Nothobranchius furzeri: one gene and its partners. The protein of the gene in region 6 purifies or fractionates together with the protein of the main gene of each other region. This does not show direct contact. Links are inferred from orthologs where the notes say so. Each region holds a gene or a part of one and is shown on either strand. Other genes may lie near its edges.

Region 1 (3,758 bases), on a different chromosome or scaffold from region 6:
GGCTCACTGCAGAATTAAAAACGCACACGGAGCATCAACAGTCAAATGCAGCCACTCACACTCGTCAGACGGCTGAGCAATAACCTTTAAAATATTTAAAGTCATCATGCTAGAGCAGCCTTTCTCTGTGGTGGATGACTGACGCTGGGTTCTGGCCACCAGGAGTCGATACGGACAATAAATATAATAAAAAATCGTTCCCAGGCTTTGGTTGTGGTCGGAAACAAACACTGGTTGTGCTGCAAGTCTTTTTCTTGAAAACATGTTTTTGTCTGAATGAAGGTGATGTTATTGTTCACAGAATAAAAATTCATGCTAAAGTTTAGATGTTTTTAGATCCTGTCAGAATCGGGAATCGATAGGAACCGGATTCAAAACCGCTCGGATTCAAGCGGTGTCCAATCCTAGTCATGTTGGACAGTAAACAGTGAAAGACAGAAATAATGGCAAAACTTTAGATATTGGAGCAATTTGTGATGGATTGTTACTTCTCTGTAGTTTAGTGAGTTTCGTTATGTGTACAGGATGATGAGAAGGATGGATGTCCAGCAGGAAAAGCAGACTGAGACCAAAGCAAGGGTTTTGAAAACGATACTTCCTCTTTGAGGAAGATGAGCTGGGTCGTGAGACTAAGAAGTAACAGTGGCGCTTTTTTCAGCTTTGTTTTGGTTAGCTGTCTGCTTTTAGCGACGTGTGTCCTGCTTGGAGCAAGATGTTGTCCCATCTGGATCACTGAAATCTTGTACTGCACAGTGTGCCACCTCTCTGGAGTTCTTAGTGTGACATGAGCGATCCTGAGCGACGGCTGAAAAACAGCGTGGTCCGGCTTTAAACAGAGTTGTACCTCCTGTTTGGTTGTAATTATTCTATCATCTGTTGAACAGGCAACGGCCATCCTGGCAGCGGAAATGGACGTGGTGAAAGCAGGAATGGGTCATGGTGATCTCAGCTTGGAGGCCTACACTCAGGTGTGGGAGGAGTGCTATGGGCAGGTGAGCATCCTCACAGTGAACAAAAGGAGATGAACAAATGAAACCAATCTGGGGTTACTGCCATCAAGCTGAAGATGCTGTTGTTGTGCAGGTGTTGTACCTACCTGGTCAGAGCAGGTACACCAGAGCCAACCTGGCTTCAAAGAAAGATCGAATTGAAAGTCTGGAGAAAAAACTAGAGGTGAAAAAGTTAAAATGTAATTATTAAAAAGCTGAGTGAGTCCCAGCCCTTTGACCCCGGCTCCGTTGCCCTTTGCAGGTGAACCGTGGTCACATGACAGCTGAAGCTCGGCGAGCGGCTAAACTAGAGAAGAAACTGAAGATCCTGCTGGGAGGTTTTCAGTCCAGAGCCCTGGGCCTCCTGAAGCAGCACAATGAGCTTTACGAACAGGTAATGAGCAGATTTGTGTCAGCATGGAAGGAAGATGCTCCTTTAGAGTCAATAGTACACATCTGAGGGTAAATGGATCGCCATGTTTATCATTTAATGCCAAACAAAATTATCTTAATGTGTACAAACCAGAGTTCCATGTTTCTGCTCTTAAAGAGCAAGTCACCCCCTACCAGAGTCAAACTCCACTCCCATTTCCTGTTTGAAAAATGCGACACAAGGAGGCATTGCTGGTGAACCAAGAGGGCGAAGCCACACACACGTCTGTCTTTCTATCATAGTGAGGACCCTCCATTGACTTCCATTCATTTTTGTGATTTCACTATGCCTAACCCATACCCCAACCCTAACCATAACCAATGCTAATCTATTCTTAACCTTAACTAAAACTTAATTCACACCAAACCTCTAACTGGTATAGTAAGCTTCTAAAAAAAAAAGTGAGAACCAATTAAATGTCCTCACTTTGTAGGTAAAATGGTCCTCAGTATGTAGTATGTACAAGAACACACACACACACCGTGACATCATAATGTACCAGCTTACATCATAGGGTACCTCTTAGTGCATAGGGACAACGGATTTAAATTCAAATGCTGTGCAGAGTTTTTACCTGAAGAGGGACACTGACGGTTTTAGGCAGAATATTTAAATTTGAACTAAGATGCACTAAAGTGCCAAATTACTGACTACACATGTCTACAGCACCATTAGACGCTCGTAGTTTATCAGCAAAAACAGTTGTTGTTGTAAAAGTAAACTAACAGCTGGTTTAGCTTTTAAATACAGGTTCACTGTTAGTTTCGACTGTAAATTTATTCTATTTTGACATGTTGTGCTTGTTTTGTCCACCAGGTGGAGCAGGCAGCCACGGAGCTCCAGACCTTCAGTCAACTGAAAAAACAAGAGGACCTCGCCATTCCCAGGAGACAGGAGGTGACCCTCACACACACGCACACACACACACCTGCTCATTCCGAGCGTTAGGCTGGATTTACGTTCACAATCTTATTTAAGTAAGATTTTAACTTTCTCAGTTTTCAAATGACTCAAATATAAAATGATAAAAGCCATTAATATGTATTCCAGCCATGCTCTGGTCATGTTCCAAGGCCTTTATATATAAATAGAAAAAAAGGCTCCAGTTTTATTTTCATTGCTGTTATGATCTGATTGGCTCAGTGACGAGGTTGCCATTTTTTGATAAACTATGTAATTATTTAAAAACAAACAACTGATCAGAACTGTTTGCCCAGAAACATATTTTCTAGAAGGAAATCCTTTTACTTGGTGACAAACCAAAGTTTTACCACCAAGTAAAGCTTTTTGTTTGACCTTCTGGTGTTTTTAGGCTTTGCGGGAAGATGTGGAGAGGCAGATGGAGAGAGAGCGAGAACTCCAGCAGCGATACGGAGAGCTCCTGATGGAGAGGGAGTCGCTGCTCAACAGTACGCAGAAATTCTGAGTAACGCATCGATAGATTCATTAATTCATGACTCAAAACAATGCTTCCTCTTAAACCTGCTGTAACCATCTGACTGTATCCCAGTGGAAATCCTTGCCTCTGTGTGCTAATTTTGCCGTGATGTGTCAGCAGCTGAGATTTGAGCGTGTTCAGTAGTCCTTGCTTCTGTACTAGTGACCAATAAAGTTTTTCAACAATAAAACCAACAGCAATGGTGTGAACTCAACTGAAAAGTTTTATTACATAAAAAATAAAATTATTTACATTTGAAAAAAGATGTGGGCTGATGCATCAGCAGGTGAGGAAAGCCATCCCGCTCCTCCTGTAGGTAATCTGGGGAGAATGAGACCACACCTTAGGCAAACACCAGGAGGTAAGATGGAAACATGCTGCAGGTCACAGCCATACGGTGGGGTGTGAAATATTGGGCAGCCTTTTTGATCTCCGTGATTTTCCTTTATAAATCGTTGGTTATGATAAAAAATATAGGAGATGCACTAAGATCTGAGAAGTAAAAAAGTTTATAGGGTTTACAGAAAGTGAAATAATTGTTTAAACAAAATTAGGCCGGTGCATAAATCTGGTCACTGTTGTCATTTTATTGATCCCAAAACCTTTAGAACAAATTATTGGAACTCGAAATTGGTTTGGGAAGCTCAGTGACCTTTGACCTCCACACACAGGTGAATCAAATTATGAGAGAGTTTTATGGGGCAAGTTGTAAGTTTCCCTCCTCTTTGAATATTCTCTGAAGAGTAGCTACACGGTGGTCTCAAACAACAGAGTCAACCCACCGTGCAGCACCCAAGACACTGACCATCGTTCAACTATTCGGTGCACTTTACACAAGGAGATGCTGCATGTGAGAGTGATGCAGAGGAAGCCTTTTCTCCAACCACAGCACAAACAG
Region 2 (4,256 bases), on a different chromosome or scaffold from region 6:
TTCCTCTGTGGCCATTAAAACGTCACTAAGTTACATGAGTAAGCAAGACGGCAAAGACGTTTTGGTATGCTACATTAGACACCCCAAGCTGCCTATAAACGACAAGGTAAATGTTGTTTTAAATTCTAGGACACCTTTACTTTCTACATCCAAATAAAAACACTCACATCTACAACTGGGTTAGCAGGTGGCCGCTCTGCCTTTTTCACTTTGACGGTCTTCTTAAGCTTCTTACCAGGTTTCCCCTCCTCCCCCGTCATCAGCTCTCTAATAAAGAAAATTAACAGCATAAATAAATAAATAAATAAATGAGAAACAGAATTCCCACATAATATAAATAAATCCCAAAATGTTCAGAATCACCTGTGATTCCAGTAGATCTGCTTGTATGTGTCATACTCAGGAATGTCCATGTCTTCACTCTCCCAGGTGGACTGGTCATATGCCAGATCTCTCCACTTTATTAGATAATGCACATTGTTCTTCTTATCAACACTAAAATTAGATGCAGAAAACATACAAACAAGGCAGGGTTTGATTAAAAACTAGCTCTTTGTGGTTTTTTAAAGCTTTAAATTTGATCATTTTGAGTCAGAAACTTTAGAGTCAGAGCAGAAATAAATCTGAATACCTCATTCAATCAATGTGGAATAATTTAACATCCAGTATGTTTCTCCTGACTCATTTTACTACTTTTACCATCATATGTCAAACATGTATCCCACCTGTGGTTAAGGATGCGGTGGATCATCAGCCACTCCAGCTTGACTCCAAACCGGCAAAACTCCTCCTCCATGTGGACAAAGAGGGGATCTTTGTTCTTCCTCTTGGTGCTTTTGTCATCATCGCCCTCACCTCCAAAGTCTACAGGAGGAGGATCGTCCATGTCGGTCTTCCTCTGGTAGTTACGAAACATCACCTGGCAGTTCAGCTCCAACTGGGGAAGAGTGGCAGTAGGTAGTAAATTTGTTGGAAGAAGCAGATTCATGTCCCAGTGAGGAGATCTTAGTACCTGTAGCTCCTGCACCCAGGAGCAGTGCCAGTAGGACATATTGCACCATTTGACAAAGAACTCCCTCTCCCTGCGGCCCACCAAAGGAGGAGGATCAGGAGCATCAGCAGGAAGGTCAGGAGGCCGAGGGACAGGCATGGGGGCTGGTGGATCCCCCCAGCGCCACAATAAAACCTTCTGCACTTTTCCCTTCATCGGTGGACACTGTTGAAACGGAGCGATGGCTCATAAATGTTACCCGACATTTACTGCACATGGTGAAATTGAGAAAATACAAACTGCATGAGAGCCATCATTTATTTGAAATATTAAGAAACAACAAATTCTGGAGAATTACGAGGGAAAAGGGCTCCACATCTGCAGAACGTGTGTTTGGCAGTCTAGAAGCAAACCCATGTGAGCATGCGCAGATCACAGCGCTCACCTTGCAGCGGGGGCAGATCCACTCCCCGTTGGGGATCTCAGGGAGAGGAGGATTAAGGCAGTGGATGTGGTAGGAGGAGGGGCAGGTGTCACAACACAGCAACTCTCCACCGTCCTTGCACACGCGGCAAAACTCGATGTGATGGTCGTCTTCCTCCTCCAACCCTTCATCTCTCCTGTCGTCATCGTCCTCCCCTTCGGCCTCGGACAGATCATCCCTGGCCTCCCACTGGATCCCCTCCTTCTCCTGGAGCCAGAATCACAGGCGAAGGAAGAAGATGGTACGTGTGTGTGTGATGGGGGAGGGGGGGGGGGGGGGCGGCAGGCAGGAAAAGTATGTGGAACAGAATAAAAAAAGGGGAGGGTGGGTGGGGGGGTGTGTTTGAGAGAGGAGTCAGAGAGAGGGAGAGTGACAAGAGGAATTTCATGGTGAGATGTGTGAAGGAGAATAAAATATTAAAAAAACATGAGCAGAGAGGTTTTGTGGGGCAGAGAACAAAGAGAAATTAATACAAAACAATGATTAAAATTAAAGTCTTTCCAGACCACAACATCCTAAGACGACTGCATTTTTCCCTCTTGCTGCTCCAGGATTCCGGTGGTTATTAAGGACACTCACACAGTGTGGGCAACTCCACTTGCCCTCAGGTGCTTTCTCCATGTCTGGGTCCAGACAGACCATGTGATAGGCTCGAGGGCAGGTGTCACACAAAATGATCTCCCCGCCCTGCTGGCACACCTCACAGTAGTCCTGATGGTCCGTCTCATACCCGTCACCATCTTCTGTTTCCACTGACAGAGGGGTTTACAGAGAGAGCGTCAACGACAGAAGTTGTGAAATACGTCTACTGCCTTCTGTTCTTGAAGCTAATTTGAAAGTTCACACAGCTGATCTGTTTTTGTTTAGATTTTGGGGATAATTTAAAGCCGACCTTTCTTCTTTTTCTTGGCACTCTTAGATTTCTTCTTAGAACGGCTGCTGCGGTTGGAGCCATCAGAAACAGAGAAACTCCCGTCATCGAAGTCACTGTCGACATCAGGTTCATCTTCATCGCTCTGATCAGGAAAGATGAAAATTAAAAATCGGCTTCTACTTGAAGTTTTATTTTCTCTGCTGGAGAGACAGTATACAGAAAAAAAAAATTAATAAACATCTTACAGATGAGCGCTTCCTCTTGCTGTTGAGGCCTCCCAGTTTGATTTTGAGTGGAGCCACCTTCTTGGGTTTCTGTTTAGCAGGAGGTTTAGACGCAGGCTTTGACCTCTTGCGAGCATTTGGGCCTAGAACACAAATAAAAAAACAAAATTCAATATATACTCAATTTTGTTTGAAAACTGCATTTTTAAATAATCAAAACTGAAACGTAAAATCCCATTTTTTATTACGTTCATCCAGCTTTACCTTTTCCCTCTTTGGTCTTGGCTTTGCGGAGCGGAGGTGCTGGAGCAGCAGGAGGTGCAGCTGGTGTTGGAGCAGGAGCTGCAGCGGCGGCAGGAACTGGAGCAGGAGCAGCAGGAGGAATCTCTGCACCTCCATCGGTCCCTGCAACCACCATGTTCTCCACAGCTGCAGCCACATTGGCAGCTGCCAAGGCTGCATTAGCAGTGGCGCAACCCTGAAAGGACAGGAGCAGAGTGAGAAGCTATGCACTCTGTGGACAAAAACGAACAAAAAGCATAAAACAAATGTATTTGTTTGAATGGGGGGGGGGGGGGGGGGACACCTTGAGTGGGTTATTTGTGCTGAATTCCCTCCATTTAGCCATCATTAAAGTCATCATTTTGGACACAGGAATTTTGGGGTTCTTTGCAGCAATTAAAGGCCTAAAACACACATAAGACCAGGTTTATTGTGGCTTTGTATATTTTTTTTATTTGGATATATTTAGCCATTTATGATCCTAAAAAGTGAGTTTCCTCACCTGACAAACTGACTGAATGCCTTGTAGTTCGTGAGGGAGCTGTAGTCTTCCTGAGAAAAGACGTGGTCAATGTCTTTCATGCCCCAGGCCTCCAGCAGCTGCGTGGAGCTTTTAGGCTGGGGGTTGGCAGTGGGCGGAGAAAAGTTAGTCCCCCGTAACAAAGTGAAACATACATTTAAAAAAAAACTGAAACTTTACCTGGCAATCGTCGTCATCATCGTCGTCATCATCCGGTTCTGGATCTTTACGTTTGCTCTTTGAGCCTCCTTTCTCTCCTCCCCCTCCTCCTTTCTTCTTGTCTTTGGCAGAGCTGGAGCGTTTTTTCTTTTTTCTACCAGGTGCATAATCACTTCCTTCACTCTCTGACCGCATACCTCCCTCATTTACATCCCTCTCTGCTGCCTCCAATCCAATCAGGTGCTCTGGGGAGCTGACTGGCAATTCCTGCTAGATAAAGAAACACTTTGCTAATTACACAAAGACATGGCTCCTTACAAGACTTTAGAAATGAGAAATTATGAAGAGCTATTGTTTTTGTCTCTTGTACAAATTGTTCCTCTATTAGGTTGAATAAGGAAAAAAGAATCGACTGTGCGCTTTCATCCCTGGAGCACTCCAAGCATAAATCCTTCTGATTTTCAGGTGAAGTTAAAGTAGTTTAAATCCATTGGTCAACTAACAGGAAACACATTAACTACCACTTTAAACCATTTAAAAGAACATGTTCAGCCAAAATCGAATGTTTTAACGCCTCACATGTAAGACTTTGGCAGGATTTTACAGTTTCATAAGCAGAATTCATTATTCCGTCAATTACGGCAAGCATTCAAGGTCCTGAAGCAACAAAGTAGGCCCAGACCATCACACCAACACCACCGTGTCTGACTGTTGGCGTGATG
Region 3 (4,256 bases), on a different chromosome or scaffold from region 6:
GAGGGGCTTAACATGTATACCACAGCCAACCACTAGAAGACATTTGTTTTGTTTCCACTTTGCATTACCTTCCAGTGTCTAGTCATGTGTAAATGGTTTGAGTTCTTGCTCCAGGTGGACTAGTGTTGTGAATTAAGCAAAACCTTTACTTTATAGCTTGTTTGTGAGCTGCTTTTGTTTGTTTTTAACTGTGGTTTTGAACCAGTCACTTGCTACACAGAGTTGTGTCAGCGTTGTTCTCTTAAACCCACAAAGTCTTTTATAAGCTCACATCTCTCGTCTTCGGATGTTTTTATGTAGAAAGGTTAGCTTAAAATGAGACTTACGCTTGCTCACTTTCTCTGCTTTTAGTGTCCCCTCCAAGCTCTGCCTTCATCCTCCTGCTCCTTGTTCACACACACACACACACACACACACACACAGGCTGCAGAAGCTTCAGCAGCCAAATTATTTGTTTTCATTGTGAACATCATCAGCAGTTTATAAAAAATTAAATGCATCAGCTGATATCTACAAATGAACACATCTGCAGCTTTCTTTATTGTGTTCAGCAGGATCCTAGTTTTGATGCTAAAGATATGACTTAGAGCACACTGTCTAACTGGAGCTATGCTCGGTGTTATCTGGGACAATTTAAATAGGTCCCTTTAGGACCAGCATCACACAGCCATACTCTGGCATCCATTTTTTCTCTACATCATCAACTTTTCTTGCAGCAGTAAATACCTAAAGGAGTTTTTTTGTGTTTTGTTTGATTGCAGACTACTCCTGTGCTCTTCAGCGGGACATCCTTCTGCAGGGACGACTCTACCTCTCAGAGAACTGGATCTGTTTCTATAGCAACATCTTCCGTTGGGAAACACTTGTACGGCCTTTCACTTCCTGCTTTTCTGTAGACGTTTTACTTGCAGGATTGGGTGTTTGTGTGTGCGAGTGTGTGTGATCATGTGCTTTTGTGTGCATTCAGCTGACGGTGCGACTAAAGGACATCTGCTCAATGACGAAAGAGAAGACTGCGCGCCTCATTCCCAATGCCATCCAGGTCTGCACCGACTCTGAGAAGGTAACGATCCCAGAATATTTGACCTGGATTCACCTCCACGGCTGCATGAGGGCTGGCTGTAGTTCAGGCTTTGTCACCAGCAGAGGGGGCATGCTCCTGATTCACATATGTGTTTAAAGAATGGATCCAGCAGTGATCACTATTAGAACCATTCTCTTCAAAATAAGAGCATGGTTTCAATAAGCAGTAATAGTAACAGGTGTGTGTTACCTTTTCTCTCAGCACTTCTTTACCTCATTTGGAGCCAGAGACAGGACCTACATGATGATGTTCAGATTGTGGCAGAATGCTCTGCTCGAAAAGGTGAGGAAAGCATCCAGCATGTGTCTGTAGCAGAGACTGTACACGTGTCTGTTTAGTGAGCACCGGGAACCGCTGATACTCCTTCCTGCATACTTCTTGTGTTTTTCTGAAATCTTTCTTTGTCTGTTGCTGTCTTCATTTTTTTTTGCAGCCCCTGTGTCCAAAAGAACTGTGGCACTTTGTGCATCAGTGTTATGGCAACGAGCTTGGCCTGACCAGTGACGATGAGGACTATGTTCCCCCTGATGACGACTTCAACACCATGGGGTAAGTTTGCTTGGATCTGTCCACACAATTGATGCAACTGAGTCCAGCTCTGAATAGTAAGACCAGTGTGGTGCGGAGTGGTGCACCTCATTTATCGTAACACATCACACCTAACCCATTTTAGAATAAACATTTGTAATCAGGTCACTGATAAAAAGTCAAAGGAAAAACGAGAACAGGGCCAAGTTCTGCAGATTTACAAGGTTCTCTTTTCTGCATCACACACACATAAAGCAGTAATTTGGGTCATTATTGGATGTGCAAGAAGTCCGCAATCACCTTTTGACATGCTGGTGATATTAGAAGAAGCTGCTCCTCTACGTTTGCTTGAAAAGGAATGAAGAAAACTGAATTACTGTCCTCTGGTGACCCCAGGTTCAGCGAAGAGATTCCCAACGAAGAGAATGAGATAAACAATGACAACTTGACAAAAACCAGCACAGAGCAAACTAAGCCTGAGGGGGGAAGTTCTCCTCTGCTGCAAAAGAAAGTTGTCCCAAACAGCTCCATCCCAAGCCCCAGCAACCATGACACAACCATCACGGTAACGTATAAACACAAGTACACACTTCAAGTACTTCTCAAGCTCATAATAACATCAGGAAATGTCTCTAACAAGAGTTACTGCATCCTGTTGTGGATCACCCATGCCTGTGTGTTTTTTTTTTCCAGTTTGAACTCCCAGCAGAGGAATTTGCAGACTGTCTACCGGACGGCGAGCTACTGACAGTGCCTCTAGTGGTGGAGGAGCAGAGTGAATCAAGCAGGCCTGGTGGTCCTGTTCCCTCGCCATCACTGGACTTTAACGACAACGAGGACATCCCAACCGAGCTCAGTGACTCCTCAGAAACCCATGATGAGGGTACGTACCCCAGCTAGACTGAAATAACTTCTTTTTTCAGATGTTATCATGTGTGTCATCCTTTCCGGGATTCCTCAGGCGAGGTCCAGGCCTTTCACGAGGACCTGAACGGCAGGCAGCATATCAATGAGGTGTACAAGTTCAGCGTGGACAAACTCTACGACATCCTCTTCACAGAGTCTCAGTTCATGAGTGAGTTCATGGAGCAGAGGCGCTTCTCAGGTCAGTGCTTCCAACATTTCTCACAGTTAAAGTATAGAATAGAGGGGAAATCCACTCATTACAGCAGCACATACACTTAGAGAAAATTAAGAAGAAAAATAATAAGATTACAGGTTAACACACAAGGGCAGTAAGCTATTATTGTAACCTTCGACCACTAAACACGGCGAATAACAATAAATTTTGCGTTTTCAGAACTATGCAGTATAAGGGACACAGGCATACTATGTACATCCAGTATTGCGCAAGTATTGAACACATACCGAGTACTGCATTGATGTTATTGTGCACCAGGATAATGCCAGTACCAGTTAAACTGAGGAGTTCTACGTGCTTACTGCAGAGAGGATGGATGACCTACGGTAGTGTTCTGTTTTACATCTGGGATGTGTCAGTCTGCCTCTGAAGGAGGATTCTATGGTCTCCACAGTGGAATGCAGTGGGTGGGAGGGGTCTTCCATGATGAAGCTCATCTTCCCCAACATCCTTTCACACGTCTCCTCAACTGTATCCAATGAGCAGCCCAGACCCGAGCTAGCTTTGTGAATTAGCTCATTTGGTTTCTTCCTGTCTCGGTCAGAGCTGCCTGCACCCTAGCAGACCACAGCAGAGTGGATAACAGAGCCAACCACAGAGTGATAAAAGGATTTTAACAGCTGGGAATTAACTCCGTAGGACCTCAGCCTCCTCAGGAGGTGGAGGCGGCTTTGGCCCTTCATATACAGAGTATATGGAGTATAGAATCACAACTGTCTTAAACAACCCTGCTGTAGCTATCTATAACAACAGGCTAACACTAGCACAAGCCAACTGGTACTAAATAAGCTACAAAGTCAAATAATCCACACTGCTGGACAAACAAATATCATAAGTCTACTAGCAACAAAGCCAGGTCACTATCAATCTGTGATTTTTGTAGCCTCCTTCAGCAGCCTCAAATGCGTTTAGGCCTTGCGGATGTTCACTCTGGTTTTAGCTCTTCGCTTCATCTCCAAAACATTCTCTCTTCCTTTTACTTCCTTACTCTGACATGATGCTAACAACAAACCTATTCTTCTTCTTGTGCTTTTTATTAATTGTCGGCAAACTAAAAACGCTAACTGCTAGCTGGCACAGGTAACAGCTATTGTGGTACAGCACGGAGAGACCTCCCACAAGTATTCCTACCTGAATCACAAAATTGTTAAGTGCAGTTTCTGGTCTGCAGAGGGCTACAGAGTGCTGTCCAATGTGAATTTACACAAGTCTCTGTCTCAAGAACCACTGAAACCATTTTAAAGCAATATATTGGTGTTAAAAACTCTTTAGTATTGCACTAATTGAAATTTGGCTTCCAGGGAGGTAAAGAAGTTATTTTCCATTTCATTATTTTTCATCCAGATGTCGTGTACCACCCGTGGAAGAAAGAGGAAGCAGGAAACCAAACCAGAGTGATCTTGTACACCATCTCTCTGTCCAACCCCCTAGCACCTAAAACAGCCACAGTCACTGAGACGCAGGTGAAATGAGCCAACCAGAGGCCTCTGTTACTGCTTTATC
Region 4 (4,256 bases), on a different chromosome or scaffold from region 6:
GAAAAACTCCTCTTGGCTGCTTGAGAAGCCTCTCGTTTTGGAGTCACTCCTCCATCAGGTGGACTTTTATTGGGAGATGAAGAACCGTGTGGAGGTGCAGGCACCGACGCTGGGGTGACCTCAGTTGCAGCCTCCAGCGCTCCTTTTCTCTCCTCTCGTTCTCTCCTTTCATTGAAATCACTGCTTTCCGAAGCAGTTTCCCATTCCTCATTGGCCTGATCTGAAGAGTTCTGGTTGGACAAGTCAGGGGATTTGGTACCCACTGCAGTAATGGAGGGACTACTGGCCTCTGGCAAGGACACTTCTAAGGGAGAAGATTGGCCAGGTGCAGGTACAGCAGCTGTCACTTCTGCAGGCACAGTTAAGGGAGTTCCTGGAGCTCTAGACGTGGGTGGAGAAAGGGCGGATTGGGCAGGAGCTAAACTAGGGCCAGCTGCAGCAGGCACAGAAGCTAAAGAAACTGGGGGACTTGAAGCTGTGTCACCACCAAACCCCCCAGCCTCACGTTCTTTCAAACGTCTAAAGCGGGGGGGTTTATCTTGCCTTGGGGGCCGTGTTGGTCGGGATCGACGAGGCCGTTCTCTGCTACTCTGAGGCCCGCCATCTCCAAACTTTTTACCCTCTAATTTTGGAGGTCGTCGGTCGGTGGAAGGATTGTCGTATCTCGCTGAAATATCTGCATCCTCAGGCCTGAATGTCTCCATGGGTTTAGAGGGCCACTGCGAGGAGGAATCTCTGGCCGCTGGCCTTCTATGAGGAGCCGAGCGAGGTCCTCCACGGTCTCTTGGTCCACCTCTTCTACTGTACAATCCTCCTCGTCCTCGGCGAGAAGGCTCTCCTTTAGGAAGAAATCCTGGCTTGGGCCGGCCTTCTTCATCCACTCTTGACCCCAACTTTTCTACCCCGTGAGGCGGCTCACAGCCCAGCTTATGGTGGGAACGGCCCTCACCGGGGAGATCTCTTCTTAGTGGACGGCTAGGTTTGGTGCTAGGCTCACGATCAGAGGGTCCAGTATCACTGGCAGACTCTCTCCCACCTTCACTTTCAGAGTCTGTGTCGGAACCACGGCGCCGCCTGCGTTTAGGAATGACTTCAAAGTCTGAGCTCTCGCTGCGTGTCTCACTTTCTTCTCGGTTGCGAAAGGCAGCAGCTCCTCCAGCAGAGGGTAAGTCAGAGCGTAATCGAGGCTCCCGATAAGGGTACTCTGCTCTGCTACGACCACGACATCCCCTGCTGCGCCCACTATAGGTTCCTCTGTAGCTACGCCCTCGTGAGTAGTACTCCCCTCGACCGCGTCCTTTGAAATTTGAATCAGGAGGCCATTCTCTCTCCCTGTCCTTGTCTGTTTCCTTGTCACGTTCCCTCTCTCGATCTTCTCGTCTGACACGTGGAGGAGGAAAATTGGAGTCTTTTCGAGACGGCAGTTTTGTTTCTGGATGTTTGTCGTTACAGGGCAGCTTGTCTACTTTCTCCTCCTGAGAGGAAGAGGTGGGCACTCCTGAAGAAGGCTGAGAGTCTCTCGCTCTGGGGTGGGAAATGGAGGATTCCTCCGTCTCAGCATTTTCCCTCTTGCCCTCACCCTGAGGTCTGGTGCTTTCAGACACCACTGCAGCTGCAGAGGGAGCTTTAGACGACTGATCCCTTTTGGACCGGTCCCCCTTTTCTCCTCTCTCATGACGTTTTTCTCTCTCCTCTCGTTGCTCCCTCTCCTCTTTCATGTCCCTTAGAACAGGCTTCTTTATTGGTCCTGATCTGCGAACTGGTCTTTCTCCCCCTAGCCCTTCTCTGCGTCCAGCCCCAGATCTTCCACCCCAGCGAAGTTCAGCTTTCTGCTTGCTGGGGCCTGGCAGAGGCAGTTTCTCTGGCTTGTGTAATCCATCTGCAGGTGGTGTAGCCCTGTTAAGGGCTACAGCAGCTTGGGAGTAGACTTCATTCTGGTGCTTGTCTGAAACCCGTTCTCCTGTGTCGTGTTGATCTAGTGATTTTGTTGCCGGGGGTATCCCATCAAACCTTAGCTCATCTAGCTTAAGAGAGTGGCTGGAACCCTGCGAGACACTTCTTTGAAGAATGGCTTGACCAATTGCCTCTACCTCCTCCCCACCTGGTAAACCTCTCTCAACTGTGTCAAAGGTAGAACTTACAGGGACCCTTTCTGAAACATCCTCAGGGCCCTGAGTAAACACCGACAGGGATTCTGGATCCCGGAAAAAGTTACTTTTACGAGAGTCAGCTGTACTGGGATCCTGAGCATAAATAGCTGGAAGACCCCTGTCCAGATCCAACCCAGAGTCGATCCTAAGAAAGCAAGAGAATAAATAAACAATTATATAAATAAAACGAATGAAGAATACTTGATTTTTAATTTATTTATTTATTTGCAATACTTTACCTTTGTTCCTGGTGGTCATCTCGCCCTTTTGGAGGAGTTACAGTGCGTAACGGTTCAGACTGTGGGTATGGATCTGATCCCCAAACCATTCGTGAGTCTGAGGGCAGGCCGTGGTCTCGAACCGGTCGGGACAAGTGATCGAACGAGTCAGAGCTGGAGCTGGAGTTGTCACCTGCCTCTCTGCGTACAATCTGCTTTGGAGGCATTCTCCCTGATAAGGTGAAACCACAGAAGATGTAAACATGTCAGGGAGCCTTTATTACATAAACCACAGCCCAACTCATCCATATCCTCACCGGGGTGCATGCTAGCTGGCATGTCCATAGGAGGTCGGCCCGACATCATGCGAGGATCCATGTAGGACTGCATCATGAGCCAGCGAGGGTCAAACCCCATGGAGGCCAAGTGCTGGTGGTGGGGGCCCATTGGTTGGTACATGGAGCGGTGCTGCTGCTGTTGGGAAGCTGGAACACTGCCAGCACCTGATGGGGACACAGATCCCCCGCTTTGCTGTTGTTGCCATTGCTGCTGCTTCATCTGCTCCTGTGGAATCAAAGTAACATTTAACTTAACTGGCGTCTTCACCATTTATATAACTGATTAAAATGTTCCTCTTCTCTGACAGTTACAGGCATATCTCAGCTCCGTCAGTAACCATATCCTGGATAATTCACGTTATAATCAAACCAGTCATGTTTAGGTCTTATCAAAGCCACAAGGCCATATTTGGACCAACGTACCTGTTGTCTGAGGAAACGTGGTGGCAACGACTTTTGAAACTGTTTGGAATAGCCTGACATAAGAGAGGGACGAATGGCAGCAGTGGCCTCTCCTTCTAGTTGTGGGGGCGCAATAGGGACTTCTTCTCCTCCTGGAGTGTCCATGTGTGACAGAGACAGATGGGGCTCATCCACTGTAGAAAAACAGTACCGTTAAGACAAAGTTGGTCAATTTGATCCAGAGTAAAACTCCATCAAGCGTTGGCTCACCTCTGTTGTCCTCCAAGTTAAAATAGTCATGGATAGGTACAGATGCTGTCCTATCCACCTGGTTCTCCTCCACAAGAGCACCGACCTCCACTAAGGTGAGTTCTCCTTGGCTTTGTGGTTCTGGAGCTGTTGCTACGGGTCTTTGGGTTGGGGAGCTGGGCTGATGAAGTAACTGAGCCTCATTCTCAGCACTTGGTTCTACTCCCTCATGTTCTTGCTCTGCCCTTTCTTTGTCTGGACCCCCCCTCTCTGATACAGGGTCTTGGATGACTGGGACCTGTGATTGTGGAACTGGTACTGAAGGGACAGGACTGGATGCAGGAACTGGTGCAGATGGGGCGTCCTCCCCTGCAGCTCCTGCGTCGTCATTAGTGGTTTGAGCATTGGCGGTTTTACTCTCATTTGCTTGTTTGTGTTTTTCATTTAGACGTTTAAGTTTTTCTGCACAAGCAGCGAGCCTCTGCTCCTCCATTCGCCGTTCCTCCTCTTCCCTCCTTCGTCTTGCTCGCTCTACAGCTTCAGAAACTTCAGATGTCTTTTTCCGCTTCTGTCGCCAGGCTTCCGAGTCTTCATCAGCAGCAGGTGCCACAGTAGCCTGTGGTTTGTCTCCACGTGGAGCAGTACTCCCAGCAGCACGGCTGACACTCTGCAAACAGGAATAACAACAGATTAGGTTACATGATACTAAAACATTGAAGAGCTAATGGCTAGCTTGTGTATTATAAACATGCTTCACCTGGTAGTCCTGTGTTGCAGCAGTTTTACTGTACTGCCCCAAACTGCCAGGTGATGGTGCTCTGGGATCAACGCCATCAGCCCAAGAGGATTTACTGCCCACAGGCTCCTCAGATCCATCTTTCCAGCCCTCTTGGTTATCT
Region 5 (4,932 bases), on a different chromosome or scaffold from region 6:
TAGTTTAACAATAATATAAACATTCTTTATTATTTCATAGATGAAAATGTCATGAGAATTACCTTAAATTAGCAATGGTAGCATATTCCATTTAATTGTTCGGTAACCTAAAAAGGGTATTTATGGTATCCTATTAAACTTATAAAATACAAATTTTATTTCTTTTAACAGGATTCTCAGAAATACTTTACAATCACGAGGAGCTGCAGATTTCGCACTCTAGATAATGGAAAAATTGTAAGTATCTCACTCTCACTCATGCACCAATAACTGAAATGAATAATTTTACAATCAAATCAATTATTTTGATTGATTTTAATGTGTTGTTTAATTATCAGATTAAACAAGAGATTGACAACCCAAATGAGGCGAGAGGAAGGAATGCATTGAGTTACTGAAGGCGATGCTGAACTGGGATGCAAATGAGAAGATCATGCCGAGCGCGATCCTCGCCCATCCCTTCATCACCGTGGACTACAGCAGATTCAGCAGCTCTTCCTTGGAGTCTTATCAGCATGCTTGATCCAGAACCCTGCACCAGCAGGGCTCTAAGTCTTCATGAAAGTAAAGCATTTGCTCCAAGAATGTGCTGGAAGCCAAGTCAAGTGATTCAAATACCTGTGAACACATCAACCCTTTCCTTAATGTCAAACCAGCTGCAACTGTGGAAGACCTAAACATGGAAAACGGTTTGTCTTGTTCCAGCAAAATACTCAGAGAGCCAAAGGAGGAGACCTTTTTGAAGCAATTATTTTGCTGTTGCATGCTGAAGTCAAATGCTGGAGAGAGTGTTATGGCGAATGATCAAGAAACAAAAAATCAGCAAAATTGACACCTAGGAGATCGTTCTCCAGGGTGTGGCCCCTAAAACTGTACTGAGAAGCTGCTCAGTTCTCTATCTTGATCCAATATGAAGAGTAAATAAATGTTTTGTTCAAGCATTACTCATATAGTGAAACAGTGCCTTTAATTTTTTTCATGCAATTACAATTTTTTGGTAATTTTGCAAAAACCTCTAACACAGCCATGCCTTTTTGAAAGAGCTAAACATACTCAACAATATATTTCATAACCTGGTAAGTAAGGCTTTGATAGACAATTAATTCCTTTTCAATGATGTTTGCCTTTAAAATGCATGTGTAACAGGTCCGGGTAAAAGAAGAATCTCTAACATATTTTGCAGACTATGCCACAGTGGCTTGTTAAAGAGGATTCAAATAACTGTTTCAATGCTAAATGGGGTTTGACAGAGTCCAACACAGATTTAATATCTAGGACATACATTTCTCAGCATCTAAGTGGAGATGAAAAAGTGGTCTATTTTAAAACAAACAGCAGTATGCTGTATTGGCAGAGCAACAAATGGATTCTATGTGACTCACAAATAGCATAAATTCCGAGATATTGTTCGCATATTTTCAAAATACATTTTAGCTCACAGAGCTTCAAAATACAGACAACAGATGCAATCTGAGTGTTTATTGGCATCATTTTGTTGTAGATATAGTTATAATAATTATTATTGTTTTCTAATGCTTCTAATAGACATTTTGATTATTTTAGAGCTTTTATTATGGAAAATCATCAAATTCATTATATCATAAACTATTAAACCAACATTTTTAATGGCCTTTACGTTATTGTTAAGCCATGGGACACTGTGCTAAGACTTGTTCTAGAATCAAACTGTATATTTTATTTTTGCTATAATCCATAAATTCACCAGTTTTTAGGAATCATTTAAAACTGTAGTACCAAAATACGACTCAAGAGGGCGCTCTATTGTGACAAAGAGACAGGAAGTAGTACGTTTAGCTTTGTGAGCGACATTTTAAATAAACCCGAAGCTAACTGCTAATTGTTACAGAGCTTGCGAACCTGCGAGCAGCTTACGTCAAAAACACGCAGGATTTTATTTAAACTGTAAATAGTTAGTGATTTGAGCGGTGTGCTGGTCATACAACTCGTCGAAGACAGTCTGAAGATTACCGAAGATGTCCAGATGTCCGACATTGTGATAAGAATAAAATACTGACGCTGTGGTGAGTTAACAGCAGCTGAGTGCTGCTTGAGCTACCTCTGCATTAGCTGTTAGCCGCTAACTTGAGCCTGCCTAATAGAACTGTGGTTGGGTAGATACTGCTTCCATTTAAAGGATTTTGCAATGCAGCTTCTCTGCAAGCCACATTTCTTCCTCACGACTTGCGTTATTTTGGCAAAATTTGCGAAGGTTATGATTCATGACCGAAATAAGCTTCACTACGCAGCTCAAGCCGGATTTCTGTTTAGCCGTGGACACAACTTATTAGTATTTCCTTTTGTTATTAATAAACGTGACTCACTGTCTGGATGCGTGTTGGATTATTGCGTGATTTATTTGATATTATAGTATGGGACGAAAACTTTAGTTTTTTATTAAGCAGTAAATCCATTTTTAGAAAATTTGGCTAAAGTGAGACGTTTGATATTTAAAATGACGTCAAACCCTCTATTTAAATTAAATTGCATGTGTTATGTTAACAGAAATCTGGCAAGTTTTAAAATAACTGACTGTTGGCTAGAGTTAGTAACTTGTTTTTCTCTTTAGCAGGTGAGTTCTTGTCCAGGCACATTGGTCCAAATTGGCTGGACCTTTGGGCTCTGGGCTTCATCAGCTGGAGAAAATGGCTGATTTAGTGAAGGCAGAGGAGTTTTTGGATGCTGAATGCCCTCCAGAGTGCCTTGATGAAGCACAATCAGCTATAGTTTCTGTTCAAGGAGAACAGGATGAGAACCTGAAAACGGAAACCACCACCAGTACTAGTTCACCCCCAAGGGAAAAGGAGGCTGACAGCCCTTTAAATACCGAAGGGGAGCAAAGTCTCCTCTCTATGCCATGCCTCATGAAGGAGCTCCACCGAGACTCCCCCGAGTCCCAGCATGCATCTACAGGGAGTGACAAGCCAGCGTCACGCAACATTTATGAGAGTGACTCCTCAAATCCTTGCATGCTCTCTCCCTCATCTAGTGGACACTTGGCTGACTCAGACACGCTTTCTTCAGGGGAAGAAGGGGCAGCTCCCCCTGTAGGAGAACACGAGGGTGGAATGGAAACTGTAAACGATCCTGGGCAAATGGCAAAAAGACAAGCATCTGCCACTGCTTCTGGGGGGAGGAAGTCTCGGCGGTCGCATTCGGAGAGCGAGATGCCTCCGATTGCAATGGCTGCAAAGAAGAACCGCTGTCAGCCAACGGCAATAGCGACTGGGCAGGAGAAACAAACCAATGGCAAGTTGACGAAAGTTAAAGGTCCCCGGAGCCAGAAACACAAAGAGCGTATGCGCCTGCTGAGGCAGAAACGAGAGGCGGCAGCACGGAAGAAGTATAACTTGCTGCAGGACAGCAGTACCAGTGACAGTGAGCTGACGTGTGACTCCAGCACCAGCTCCTCAGATGATGATACTTCAGGAGGCAGCAAGACAATCAAGACAGATATTCCAGGTAACCTCCCATTACCTTATCACACCCTTCTAGCGCAGTACTTTACATAGAAAACAATAGCATTACTTTATAATATTGCTTGTATAATTGCTTGTATAATTTAGAAGTTCAAACATAAACCTAAAGTTAAACTTGATAAAAGAATGTGTGCTTTCTGATAAGGACAAGGCTTTATTTGTGCTCCTTTTGACAACCACCTTTTCTTTTTCCTGTTAATTTCTCATTCATCGATAGCCATTCTCATCGTCTTTAAATGTAGAAATGTTGTTCCGAGTTGTCCTGTCACTCGTCACTTTACATCTTTTGTGGTGTCTCATAGTTTGCATGCTGTGGAATTCTAGTTGTCATTGTTCAACCCATGGATCAATAATCATTTTTTACTTAGTGATTGTTTTTTTTTTTTTTTTTTTTTTTTTTTTGTCCAGTGAGTCATGGATCTGTCCAATCTCTGCTCTAAACTGATAGAAGCAGGCCACGTTGGTCCAGAATATAAGACATACATGTCAATTTTTTTTAACTCATTGGAGAATTAAAGAATAAATATTAACATCACCCAAATTACTGCTTGGAGTTTAGTATATCCTGTTATTTATCAAATATTCTAGCAGAAGTCCTGGGTTGGTTTTATAATGAACTCTTCCCATACATGGCCTTTTATTTATTCCTGTAGTTTTCTATATATTCAGCAGCATTTTCATGTGTCTAATGGCCTAATGATGCACATCTGGGAGTGGATGTGGTGATAAAAACATTCAACCCTGGTAAACACCAGGAGGCAAACTCATTTAACTGTCTGGATGGGTTTGTTGTTTGTTTGCATCGTTTGTTTTTCTCAAGTCTCCTGAGTGAGTTCAGGTGTCACGTTTTACTCAGCTCAGGTTTTTTTTTTTTTTTTTTTTTTTTTTTGCTGTTTAAAGAAATGTTTTTATTTACTTTAATCTGGCCTTTTCAGCTTAATTTTTTACCTCAAGATTTCAGTTTTATCCAACTGAAGTACCAGTTGCATTTGATTTAGTATAAACGGTTTGTTTTGGTTTATTTAAAATTCTGTTGATTCGTTTTACATGTAGTCGCTGTAGGGGTAAAGCCTAGTATCTCAATTTTTAAACATTTTCACGTATTTACATTTAGATCTATTGGTCACATTTCACATAAATCAGTGAAAAGTGGACACTAAAGAGAGATGTTGTGACATTTGACCACAGAGTCGGTTCTTTGTAAAACTGAAGACTTTTTCCCCCAACGATGACAAAACTGTATTAGATGTATGTTGTAGTTCAGGTTATCTCAGTCCATATTATATGTGTGTACTCGAAAGACTCACCAGTTAACATGTTTTCCAGACCATAGTTGCTGACTCAGAACATCCAGTTTTCTTCCTTTATGACTCTTTTAGTACATAAAATGTTTTCAGCCATTTTTTACATCCTGGCCACAGTTTTGAGTGCTACA
Region 6 (4,256 bases):
TCCAAAAATATAAAATGACACACAATCATTCATGTCTGCTCAAATTCTTTCTGGTACTTACTTTTAGTCAGGAATTGTCAGAACTCATCACCCCTTAGTCCAGTGACTTCACCTCACTGGTGCAGCCTTGCGTGCACTCCGCTGTTTTGCGGTCAGTAGATGCCTTTGATGTGCTTAGTTCAAAAGTAATCCCTGAGGTGAAAAAGTAGAAAGCCAGGAAACAGTTTTTCTGCAGGATTGAGAGGAGATGCAGGAAGATGAGACGGACAGGACAGGAAAATATTCAAATAAAAAACAATTAAAAAAACAAGTTTACTTTTATAAAGCAATCATTTATAAGCATGTAATATTTATATATTTTATACAATTCAGATCACTTTCAAAACGCAGTCCCACTCCCAGGGCCGTATCAAGGCATTTTGGGGGCCAAGGCAAAATAAACCCCCCTCTCATTGGACTCCCCCGGAAGCCTCTGTAATTCGTGCCCTACGAAGATCCCGTTTCAGCTGATCCTCCCATTTTAATAATAAGCAACAATAAGGCTCAGGGGGTCAAAGGTACCATGCCAAAAAGTCAAAGCCGTGTGTGACCTACTTTTTAAGTAAATTAGAAAGTTTTAAAATGCCAGAGAAACTTATTTTCTGAGAAACCTCATAAAAACGTCTTAATGTAAAGCCCTTCCTCCTCCAATCTTCAGTTTCCTGTGTCTGGGGCCTTCTGGTTTAAACCAACCAATTAGCAAGCAGCTCATTAGCATATTCATGTCCTGGCCAAGTGGGAGGGGTGAACAGCTCTTGTCACAATAAGGTTGATTTAGAGGGGTTTAGCTTGGATTATGCTTGTCTGCGAGGTTCGCACGGCTCCGCGCGGCAAAATTGCGTCATTTTAACAACCACGCCCCTCCACCGCGCCTCCGCACGGCCCAAATTTTCCGCACCGCGCACCTAGGAAATTTTCTAACCACGCGGACGGTCGGATGCGGAAAAACATGGCGGACTGGCAAGAACTAGTATGGCAGAGGTTCATAAATACAGACATTTGTATGATTCAGCTCTCAAAGATCACCGTGATCAGCATGTTGTTAATAATTCTTGGAGAGAAATAGCTCGCACTGTCGGAAAAGACGAGGACGCTGTTAAAAGCTGGAATGCCATGTTGTAAACAGTCATTTTTACTTCTACTATGGTGTAGTGCTGGATGCATGCCGTAGAGCTCCATGCTGCCCCCTACAGTTTGGGAGAATATTGGCTCACCGCAGAGACGAGCCGCATGAACCATAAACACTGCGAGTTGTGAAGCACGTTCCATCCGCGAGCCGCATCACCGCGCGGAAAGTGAATGTGTCAAGCATAAACCAAGCTTTAGAATGGCCTGTATCAGGGCTCCTGGGACAGATGAAAGCCAAAAGAAAATTTCTTATGCTTCTTCGATTCAAAGCAGTGTTTTAGATTGCTGATCAACTGCATTCATTGTCCCCTTTAAATCAATGTTAACAAAAGTAAATACACAATCATGGACCAGATTCGAGACTGTAATGGTGGCAGGATACCTCAGAATAGTGCTACGCCCTCTGTTGTCCTGGCGGGGAATTGTTTTGCAACAATCCCCAGCTGACGGAGAAGTCTGTGACCAAAACGTTTGTCAGTGCGTGTGCGTCTCTCCCTCACGGAGCTGACGGAGAGGTAGAAATTAGGCTTTACAGTTTGCTGAGTCTTTAATGTTATTTGTCGTTAAACAGAGAAGCTTTGGTGCTGTTTTAGAGAAAGATGTTTGTTAAATCTCAGTTTTTTGGCTGTAAAACACAGGTGTTGTTGGTGAGTCTAGTGGATGTGATGAATATGTGCTTGTGCAAAAACCTGTTTCCAGGTCTATTTAGGTGAAACAAGAGGAACTGGAAGTAGGACTTCTTAGAGGGTTGAGCGTGTGCTTTGCTACTGAACACACAGCTCATTTTTTATTTTGTTTCTCCGTGGCTAAATTTACCGGTAGAGCTGTATTTCAGGCTGATCATCTCAGGGTGGATGTACACAGAGAAAATGCCGCTGTCCCATTTTTCTGGTTATTGGGGTCACAATTTCTACACGAGTGGTTACCTGGAAGAAAAGTGAAAGCACCCACACCAGCTTATTTCTGAGAAACTCGGACATCAAGAAAACCTTGAAGAAGTATTTTGGCCAGTTTGAAATGTGTTGTATGTAAAAGTTCTGACTTTTATTTGTTGTATATGACTTCCTGAGTGGGCTCAGCAGAAATATTTCTGCCAACACAACCCTGGAATGTAATGAAAAGGATTTTCACAAACTGCTTGTAAAGCCTTGGTGACTTGAGCTGTTAACAGGACGTTTGAGAGGAACGCCATCCACCAGCAATCTATATTCAGCAAATAAAAAAATCAAAACCCTAGAAAAAAGAATGTTTAAGATGGCCAACCAGTCCCATGTTGGCGTGATGAGACAGCCACACAGTCAGAGAACAATGTACCTTCTTTGTAGAAGTGTTACCTGTAAAGAAAAGGAAGAACATTTTCATAACATAATCATCCATTCCTGTTTTTAAAACATTAATACTTAAAGAGACAAATACTGAAGATTGACTCTGAATAAATTAGCCAAACATAAATAGTCTGTGTGACATAAACAGTAAAGTCCATTCTCAGTGCTAAACAGGCCAGATTATAAACCTGATAATCTGCCTTTTGGAAGGAGAAACTCGCTCTGCTCAACAGTTGAAATCTCTGTTTTTGTTTAAGGCTCTGGACTACTGTCACAGCATGGGCATCATGCACAGAGACGTGAAGCCCCACAACGTGATGATCGACCACCAGCTGAGGAAGGTGCTGCTCAGTTGTTTATTTACTCCAAAAACAACACCTCAGAAACAATCATGTGCATCTGTGTGTCCATTAATGAATCTGGCACTGACAAACTTTTACATGAGTCACTGATGCCCTGTTGCATCAATAGTTCATGTTTAAGTCAAACACACCCGGTTTTTGATGGGATATAAAATGACACTAATAACTTGTGATGTTGTAGATTTTACTCGAGGGAAACATGAGAGGAACCCAGTAACGTGTGTGTGTTCTGCCACAGCTCCGGCTCATAGATTGGGGTTTGGCTGAATTTTACCATCCCGCTCAGGAATACAACGTCAGGGTGGCCTCTCGTTATTTCAAAGGCCCCGAGCTGCTCGTGGACTATCAGGTAGATTTATTCAGACAAAAGCACAACTCTGAGTCAGGCGGTGTGAACTCTGATGTCATGTTAGGGTTCAACTGTGTTTTTCTGTTTTAGATGTATGATTATAGTTTGGACATGTGGAGTTTAGGCTGCATGTTGGCCAGCATGATTTTCCTCAAGGAGCCATTTTTCCACGGCCAAGACAACTATGATCAGGTAAGAGGTGAACAAATGATGTGTAAAGGAGGACAGATACATATTAATAAAGATGAGTTTTACTCTCTGACTAAATAACATAAAATTTAAGTTATAATGTTGACTCATTATTTGTGTCAGACAAATATAAAAAAAGATGCTTTTAATCCCAGAAGAACATTTCTTTCCTCCACATGAGTGGATGAATTAAACACGTTTTTGTTGATATTTTGTGAATGATCTCTGTCGGTGGCAGTAGAACAACACTCACAAGGTACTGCACTGTAATGTGGCTCAGTGGCGCCCCCTGCTTTGTGTCTTAAAACTAACATCACAGCAAGTAATCCAACAGAAACTGGGTTAACTCAACCTGTCCTTAAAGTTGTGGATCACTCAAATCATATTTTAATTATTTCTGATTATAATCGGTCACTCTGAGGTTCAAATGTAGGTTGAAAATGAAAATAGTCTCCTACACCTATCTGCTGCATTAGCTTCTTCTGATAGAAAATAGACAGTAAAACTCTAGGATTGGAAAAGCCTGACAGATCTACGTCGCACTGTCACTTAACATTCATGGACTCACCCATCTTGACTCACGATGGGGAAGGCTGCTGTTGGTTTAGCATCTAGGAAACAGCAGAGAATGTATCAACTAGTAGAAACTAACTGTTAGCATTAGCAACTCCACCGCACAGAAGAACTCCCTCAAGCTGGAGGTATTTGTGGAGATAAAGCATCAATGTTGCAAAGCAATCAGTCAGTGGTTGGGTCTTTTTCTGTTAGCCAATCAGATGAGAGATGTCAGAATGTCAGGAAATGAGACTCCAAATCCTGCCATGAGGTGGCTTTCTGCTAGTTCCTGAAAAACACATCTAACCC
Region 7 (4,803 bases), on a different chromosome or scaffold from region 6:
CTTATTTTTAACTTAAATTTGTAATCTCATCTTCTTTCTGATGTTAATCCACTTATGATTTTGAGATCATTATGATTTTATGACCTTGTTTTATTTTGTTTTAATCTAAGTGAAGCACTTTGTGATTCTATGTCTGTGACAAGTGCTATATAAATAAAATTCACGTACTACTTTCTTACTACTAAATCCAAGCCTATACATTTCAGACCTGCAACACATTAACAGAAACTGTGGATGACACAATTGAACTAATATTGAGTTTTAAATAAAGTAATATTTTTTAATATTTTACACTTTTATTTCTATATCTAATGCTTAGTGACTCAAATGAGTAAAAACATTTTATTGTTTTATTTCAGTGTGGAAATTCAAGAGTTTGTGAAGAAACTAAAAACACAGAAAATATAAAACAAATAACGATTAAAAGCAAACAATTTAAACAGTAATCAAACTAAACAAATGTGTATGTACGAAATCACAAAACAATATAATTTAACTTTTAAACCCAATGTTCTGAAACGTAAACGAGGACCATCATCCAGCAGCCACAAGAGGGGGCCATTTAATAACTGTTATAAAGAGCGTCTGATTCGTACATCTTTTAAACTAAACTAGAAAACCATAATGAACTCACATAATAAAAATGATCACGCCTTAGTTATCATATAATTATTTCATTCATCCACAAATTAAAATACTACGCGTAATAAGGCTTCAACAACTTTATTTGTATATGCATTGCTTAAATACATATATATGATTACAAATATGGAAGAATATACAAATAAAAGAAATAAATTTGAGAGCTAATTTTCATCTGTTGAAGATTATTACATAATTCCATTTATTTTCTTTGATATTCGTTAAGTGAAAGTACCTCCCAAGATCACATGATTAAGTCCACCCGAGCAGGAAGTGGAACAAGGTCAGCCTTCACCCTTCAAAATAAATCCCTACAGGTAGGTGCAAAAATAATATTGTACAGTAAAATCGTTATTCTCATTATTATCACTGGTACATTTTCTTCAGTTTACAAATGAATTGCAAAATAACCACTGACAAGGAGCTTTGCTGATTTGAATTTAATTGTTTTCAAATATAAAATCATTTGTGTTTTCGTGTTAGAACTGTGGAGAGCTGGTAGGGTCTCTGTAATAAATAATATATAACCCCTGAAACTTACATAAATTTAACCCAGTAATTTTCCACTTGACTGATAGCAAGATGCAACGCTTACTTTGCTTTTATGTTGAAGTTTCAACCCGGAAATGACGTTCGTCTCGGATGTTGTCATGTTTACCCACTGAAGCCCTTGGTAGAACAGTGCAGACGCACTGATGGCTAACAAATAGACTGGATATGGCGGTAAATGGAGTTTAGCGAACGCACCAGAACCTGTTTTTACCTTCCCCGATATAAATATTGGATCCACGTGACTTGGCTGGACCGAGAACCAATCGTGGAATTAGGCGTCCCATTGAGAGAGCAAACTAACGTTACAAGCATTAATCACCGCCTGCTAACAATTAGCAGACAGACTCAACCTGCATTAATATTTACAACTAGTCTGCGAGCCAGAGGTAGCCAAGAGACCCCGCCAACTCAGCAGAGGTGAGTCGAGCACATGATCCCCGAGCTCTGCTGTTTTTACCCCCCCCCCCATCTTCTGATAAAACGCGATTATTCTCGATGTGTCTCCTGGCGGGGCGACTGTGACGCTGCAGTCGAGCAATCATGCGTCTTATTATGTAATAAGTCAGGATTAGCGGGACTGGTGTGAACTTGTTGCTGCTTGCTCATCGTCAGAGGCTTCATCTTCACTTCTGCGTCTGTTTTTAGCAGAAAACGACCAAATAAACGTTAATTAGCGAAAGAAAGTCAACCGTTCAGTAAGGTGTGACGTACAGGTGGCTTGTTTTACTCGTAGTTGTTTGAGTAGCAGATTGTGTTTCAGGGCATTTGGACTTACATTTTCCTGCATCATCGCAGTCATCTGATCTGGTTCTGGTTCTAGTAGTGCTCTGTTACCACTTTCACCTGGCGAAGCTTCTGTTTGTGTCGGGCAACTCTGGTTGCAGCCGGTCCGATATCAGATACCAGTCTGCCACACAAGTGGCCTGTGATTTCTAAAATGTTTCATTCTTTCTGCTCAGACAGCATGTTGATCAATCACAGTTGTTTTCAAAGCTGTGATTATTCTGGAGCGAATTGGTTATGGAAATATATGATCAAAGTTATTTTGTTGAGCATTAAAGTCTTGATTATTTAACGCAGTTACATATTGGGTTGGGAAGCTCTTTGATTTGAACACTGAGGTGTGGCCCAATAAAATGTAAGCATCAAGTTCCTGACACATGAAGAAAGCCTCACTCTGCAGGACGTGATCTTTATTTACCTTATTTGTATTTGTTTGTATTGTATTTGTTTTATGGTAAATGGTAAATGGCCTGTATTTGATATAGCGCCTTCTAGAGTCATGGAACCCCTCAAGGCGCTTTACAATACAATCAGTCATTCACCCATTCACACACTGGTGGGGATGAGCTACGATGTAGCCACAGCTGCCCTGGGGCGCGCTGACAGAGGCGAGGCTGCCGAGCACTGGCGCCAACGGTCCCTCCGACCACCACCAGCAGGCAACGTGGGTTAAGTGTCTTACCCAAGGACACAACGACAGCGACAGACTGAGCGGGGCTCGAACCTGCAACCTTCCAATTTATGTCTTCATGTAGGTTGCGTAGTTTGAATGAATGCCTTTAAAAATATATGCGTTAATTACCAACAGGCTTTGTGTTGAAAGCATTGGATGTGTTCACACTTGTCAAGGTGCAGACTGATATCATCAAACTAAAAGTCTTTGCTAGTCACAAAAATTAGTGAACATAAAAATTAGGTAAAGGTGTCATTTTGTATCAACAGCCTTCTGGAGTGAAAATTCCCACACTTTAGGAGTTCAAGCAGGGGCTGCTCAAAATTACGCCGAATGTCGCAGATGGTCCGTGGACCACATTTTGGACAATCGTAGAATATCCGGAGTTCACATTTAAAGAGACTATTTACCAATGAATGTCAGCAGAATGTTTGAAAATGAGACTCTATTTTAACAATGGCTGAAGGAATGGAGTGAAGTGCAGCTTATTTAGTACATACTATACTGTTTGATGGTGTTATATGTATTACTTTGTGGTGATTATATCATCAGAAGACCGTGGACTTGCCACTTACGGAAGTTACCTGTATCAGCTTGATTGAGTCGTTTACATGGAGATGAAGTTGGGCTCCTACTGTATTATCTGGGCACTTAAGCATGATGACCATTTCTCCTTCAACAAGAATAATGTGTTTACATGCATTTAAAAATAAGAAATGCTGATCTATTTAGGGTAATTGTTAATTTTATGATGTGCAGGTAAACACTGATAGTGCCCAGGCCAATGAGAGCTCAGCTGAGCTGTGATGTCTTTTACTTGCAGAGAACTTTGGTTTTCTATCCGCATTATCATGGTACCTTAGGTGGAGTAGGAGTAGGCCGGTTTGGTTTGACTTCAGTCAGACACAAAGACAACACAGCAGATTAGGGTGTACGTTCTACTAGGGTAGGAGATGCTCTCTGAAGAGGTGGGTCTAATAGTTACTTGCAGATAAACAAGGACGCCTCTTTTCTGGTAGTGCTTGGCAGGTCATTCCGCTATCGTGGTAGGCACTGCCAGCCAACAGTCCTCCTTATAAACTCTAGAATATAAGCCATGCATTTCAGCATGAAGATGAACACATTCGAAGATTCTGACATCAACAGTTTCCACATAAGATCAAATGACTAAAGTTAAAAGAAGCTTACTCTGTGTATTTGTTTCTAAAGTGAGCTTTCTGAGTCATGTACATTTCCATATTTCCATATGCCCCCTGTACATGTAAAGGAGGTTAAGCTCAGAATATCCATGAAAACGTCTGTAGAGGGGAGCGAGGGCATCACTGGAACAACCAGCAGCTTATTTGCAAGTTAAATAGAGTTTCCGTTCAGGTTGTGTGACCCACAGTGAGTGGCTGTGTGCTACCAAAGGTACACCCAGCTTCAGATTTGGTTACAGATTCTACTTTGGGAGTATGTGGGATGTTTTTACCAACATAGATGAAAACAATAGTATGGCATTTGTTTTTTTGGATTCTTTAAAGTAGGGCTGCAACAAACGATTATTTGGATAATCAATGAATCGGATGAGGTCTCGACACGATTAATCGATTAATCTGATTACATGGGGAAATTTTTAAAAACTGCTAGGGAAACGTTATTTCTCTCCTTCCTTCACTTTATTAAACACAACATTATTAGAAAACAGATCAATAGCAGAAAAACAACATGCCATCACCTAAATTGTCTTATAAGGTGTATAGACAGAGACCCTAAGCTACACCTATCTGTGACCTAAAATGCTTGGTCCAAGTTAAACAGCAAGTCAACCCCTACCAGAGTCTAACTCCACTCCCACTTCATGTTTGAAAAATGGAACAAATGCTGTTGCCTGGCAGACCGAGAGGGCGGAGCCACTAACAAATACGCACACACTCAGGCTCACGACATCATTGTGACATCATAATGTACCAGTTTACATCATAGCATACTTCTTAGCCAATAGCAGTGGCAGATTTAAATTAAAATACAGTGCAGAGTTTTTACCTGACAACGGCACAACACTGCCAGTTTTAGGCAGAATATTTAAATTTTAACTAAGATGCAACTGAAGTGCCAAATTATTGACGACACGTGTCTGCAGCACGATTAGACACTCGTTTATTTAGTTTATC

Evidence for each region.
Region 1: the proteins of casein kinase II subunit alpha' (region 6) and cdc5l purify together in Homo sapiens (affinity purification with mass spectrometry; 3 studies listed by BioGRID and IntAct, counting the BioPlex papers as one, with this or other methods). This does not show direct contact. The link is inferred for Nothobranchius furzeri from reciprocal best matches to the Homo sapiens genes CSNK2A2 and CDC5L.
Region 2: the proteins of casein kinase II subunit alpha' (region 6) and chd4b purify together in Homo sapiens (affinity purification with mass spectrometry; 4 studies listed by BioGRID and IntAct, with this or other methods). This does not show direct contact. The link is inferred for Nothobranchius furzeri from reciprocal best matches to the Homo sapiens genes CSNK2A2 and CHD4.
Region 3: the proteins of casein kinase II subunit alpha' (region 6) and gramd1bb purify together in Homo sapiens (affinity purification with mass spectrometry; 3 studies listed by BioGRID and IntAct, with this or other methods). This does not show direct contact. The link is inferred for Nothobranchius furzeri from reciprocal best matches to the Homo sapiens genes CSNK2A2 and GRAMD1B.
Region 4: the proteins of casein kinase II subunit alpha' (region 6) and prrc2c purify together in Homo sapiens (affinity purification with mass spectrometry; 3 studies listed by BioGRID and IntAct, with this or other methods). This does not show direct contact. The link is inferred for Nothobranchius furzeri from reciprocal best matches to the Homo sapiens genes CSNK2A2 and PRRC2C.
Region 5: the proteins of casein kinase II subunit alpha' (region 6) and ark2n purify together in Homo sapiens (affinity purification with mass spectrometry; 6 studies listed by BioGRID and IntAct, counting the BioPlex papers as one, with this or other methods). This does not show direct contact. The link is inferred for Nothobranchius furzeri from reciprocal best matches to the Homo sapiens genes CSNK2A2 and ARK2N.
Region 7: the proteins of casein kinase II subunit alpha' (region 6) and osbpl8 purify together in Homo sapiens (affinity purification with mass spectrometry; 4 studies listed by BioGRID and IntAct, with this or other methods). This does not show direct contact. The link is inferred for Nothobranchius furzeri from reciprocal best matches to the Homo sapiens genes CSNK2A2 and OSBPL8.

Annotation. Positions count from the first base shown.
Region 1 is NC_091752.1:40,119,425-40,123,182, forward strand, and holds the end of cdc5l (cell division cycle 5-like protein), read left to right. Parts: intron 1-884; coding exon 885-992; intron 993-1,083; coding exon 1,084-1,173; intron 1,174-1,251; coding exon 1,252-1,383; intron 1,384-2,238; coding exon 2,239-2,319; intron 2,320-2,734; coding exon 2,735-2,848; 3' UTR 2,849-3,054; downstream 3,055-3,758. Other genes in the region: supt3h (transcription initiation protein SPT3 homolog), read right to left, coding at 3,140-3,181.
Region 2 is NC_091745.1:74,024,820-74,029,075, forward strand, and holds part of chd4b (chromodomain-helicase-DNA-binding protein 4), read right to left. Parts: intron 3,805-4,256; coding exon 3,556-3,804; intron 3,474-3,555; coding exon 3,358-3,473; intron 3,260-3,357; coding exon 3,160-3,259; intron 3,052-3,159; coding exon 2,838-3,051; intron 2,717-2,837; coding exon 2,595-2,716; intron 2,492-2,594; coding exon 2,368-2,491; intron 2,228-2,367; coding exon 2,055-2,227; intron 1,683-2,054; coding exon 1,437-1,682; intron 1,217-1,436; coding exon 1,013-1,216; intron 938-1,012; coding exon 726-937; intron 496-725; coding exon 364-495; intron 268-363; coding exon 168-267; intron 1-167. UniProt on the Homo sapiens protein: ATP-dependent chromatin-remodeling factor that binds and distorts nucleosomal DNA. Acts as a component of the histone deacetylase NuRD complex which participates in the remodeling of chromatin.
Region 3 is NC_091753.1:27,155,445-27,159,700, forward strand, and holds part of gramd1bb (protein Aster-B), read left to right. Parts: intron 1-761; coding exon 762-865; intron 866-967; coding exon 968-1,063; intron 1,064-1,285; coding exon 1,286-1,366; intron 1,367-1,517; coding exon 1,518-1,633; intron 1,634-2,008; coding exon 2,009-2,177; intron 2,178-2,305; coding exon 2,306-2,495; intron 2,496-2,573; coding exon 2,574-2,717; intron 2,718-4,097; coding exon 4,098-4,216; intron 4,217-4,256. UniProt on the Homo sapiens protein: Cholesterol transporter that mediates non-vesicular transport of cholesterol from the plasma membrane (PM) to the endoplasmic reticulum (ER).
Region 4 is NC_091748.1:46,614,865-46,619,120, forward strand, and holds part of prrc2c (protein PRRC2C), read right to left. Parts: coding exon 4,115-4,256; intron 4,025-4,114; coding exon 3,379-4,024; intron 3,303-3,378; coding exon 3,130-3,302; intron 2,933-3,129; coding exon 2,686-2,932; intron 2,601-2,685; coding exon 2,390-2,600; intron 2,296-2,389; coding exon 1-2,295. UniProt on the Homo sapiens protein: Required for efficient formation of stress granules.
Region 5 is NC_091746.1:60,555,653-60,560,584, forward strand, and holds the start of ark2n (protein ARK2N), read left to right. Parts: upstream 1-1,819; 5' UTR 1,820-2,042; intron 2,043-2,587; exon of another isoform or gene 2,588-2,590; 5' UTR 2,591-2,663; coding exon 2,664-3,480; intron 3,481-4,932. UniProt on the Homo sapiens protein: AMPK substrate important for exercise capacity and skeletal muscle function.
Region 6 is NC_091749.1:31,566,715-31,570,970, reverse strand, and holds part of casein kinase II subunit alpha', read left to right. Parts: intron 1-2,749; coding exon 2,750-2,833; intron 2,834-3,092; coding exon 3,093-3,203; intron 3,204-3,293; coding exon 3,294-3,395; intron 3,396-4,256.
Region 7 is NC_091741.1:58,358,851-58,363,653, forward strand, and holds the start of osbpl8 (oxysterol-binding protein-related protein 8), read left to right. Parts: upstream 1-1,397; 5' UTR 1,398-1,611; intron 1,612-4,803. UniProt on the Homo sapiens protein: Lipid transporter involved in lipid countertransport between the endoplasmic reticulum and the plasma membrane: specifically exchanges phosphatidylserine with phosphatidylinositol 4-phosphate (PI4P), delivering phosphatidylserine to the plasma membrane in exchange for PI4P, which is degraded by the SAC1/SACM1L phosphatase in the endoplasmic reticulum.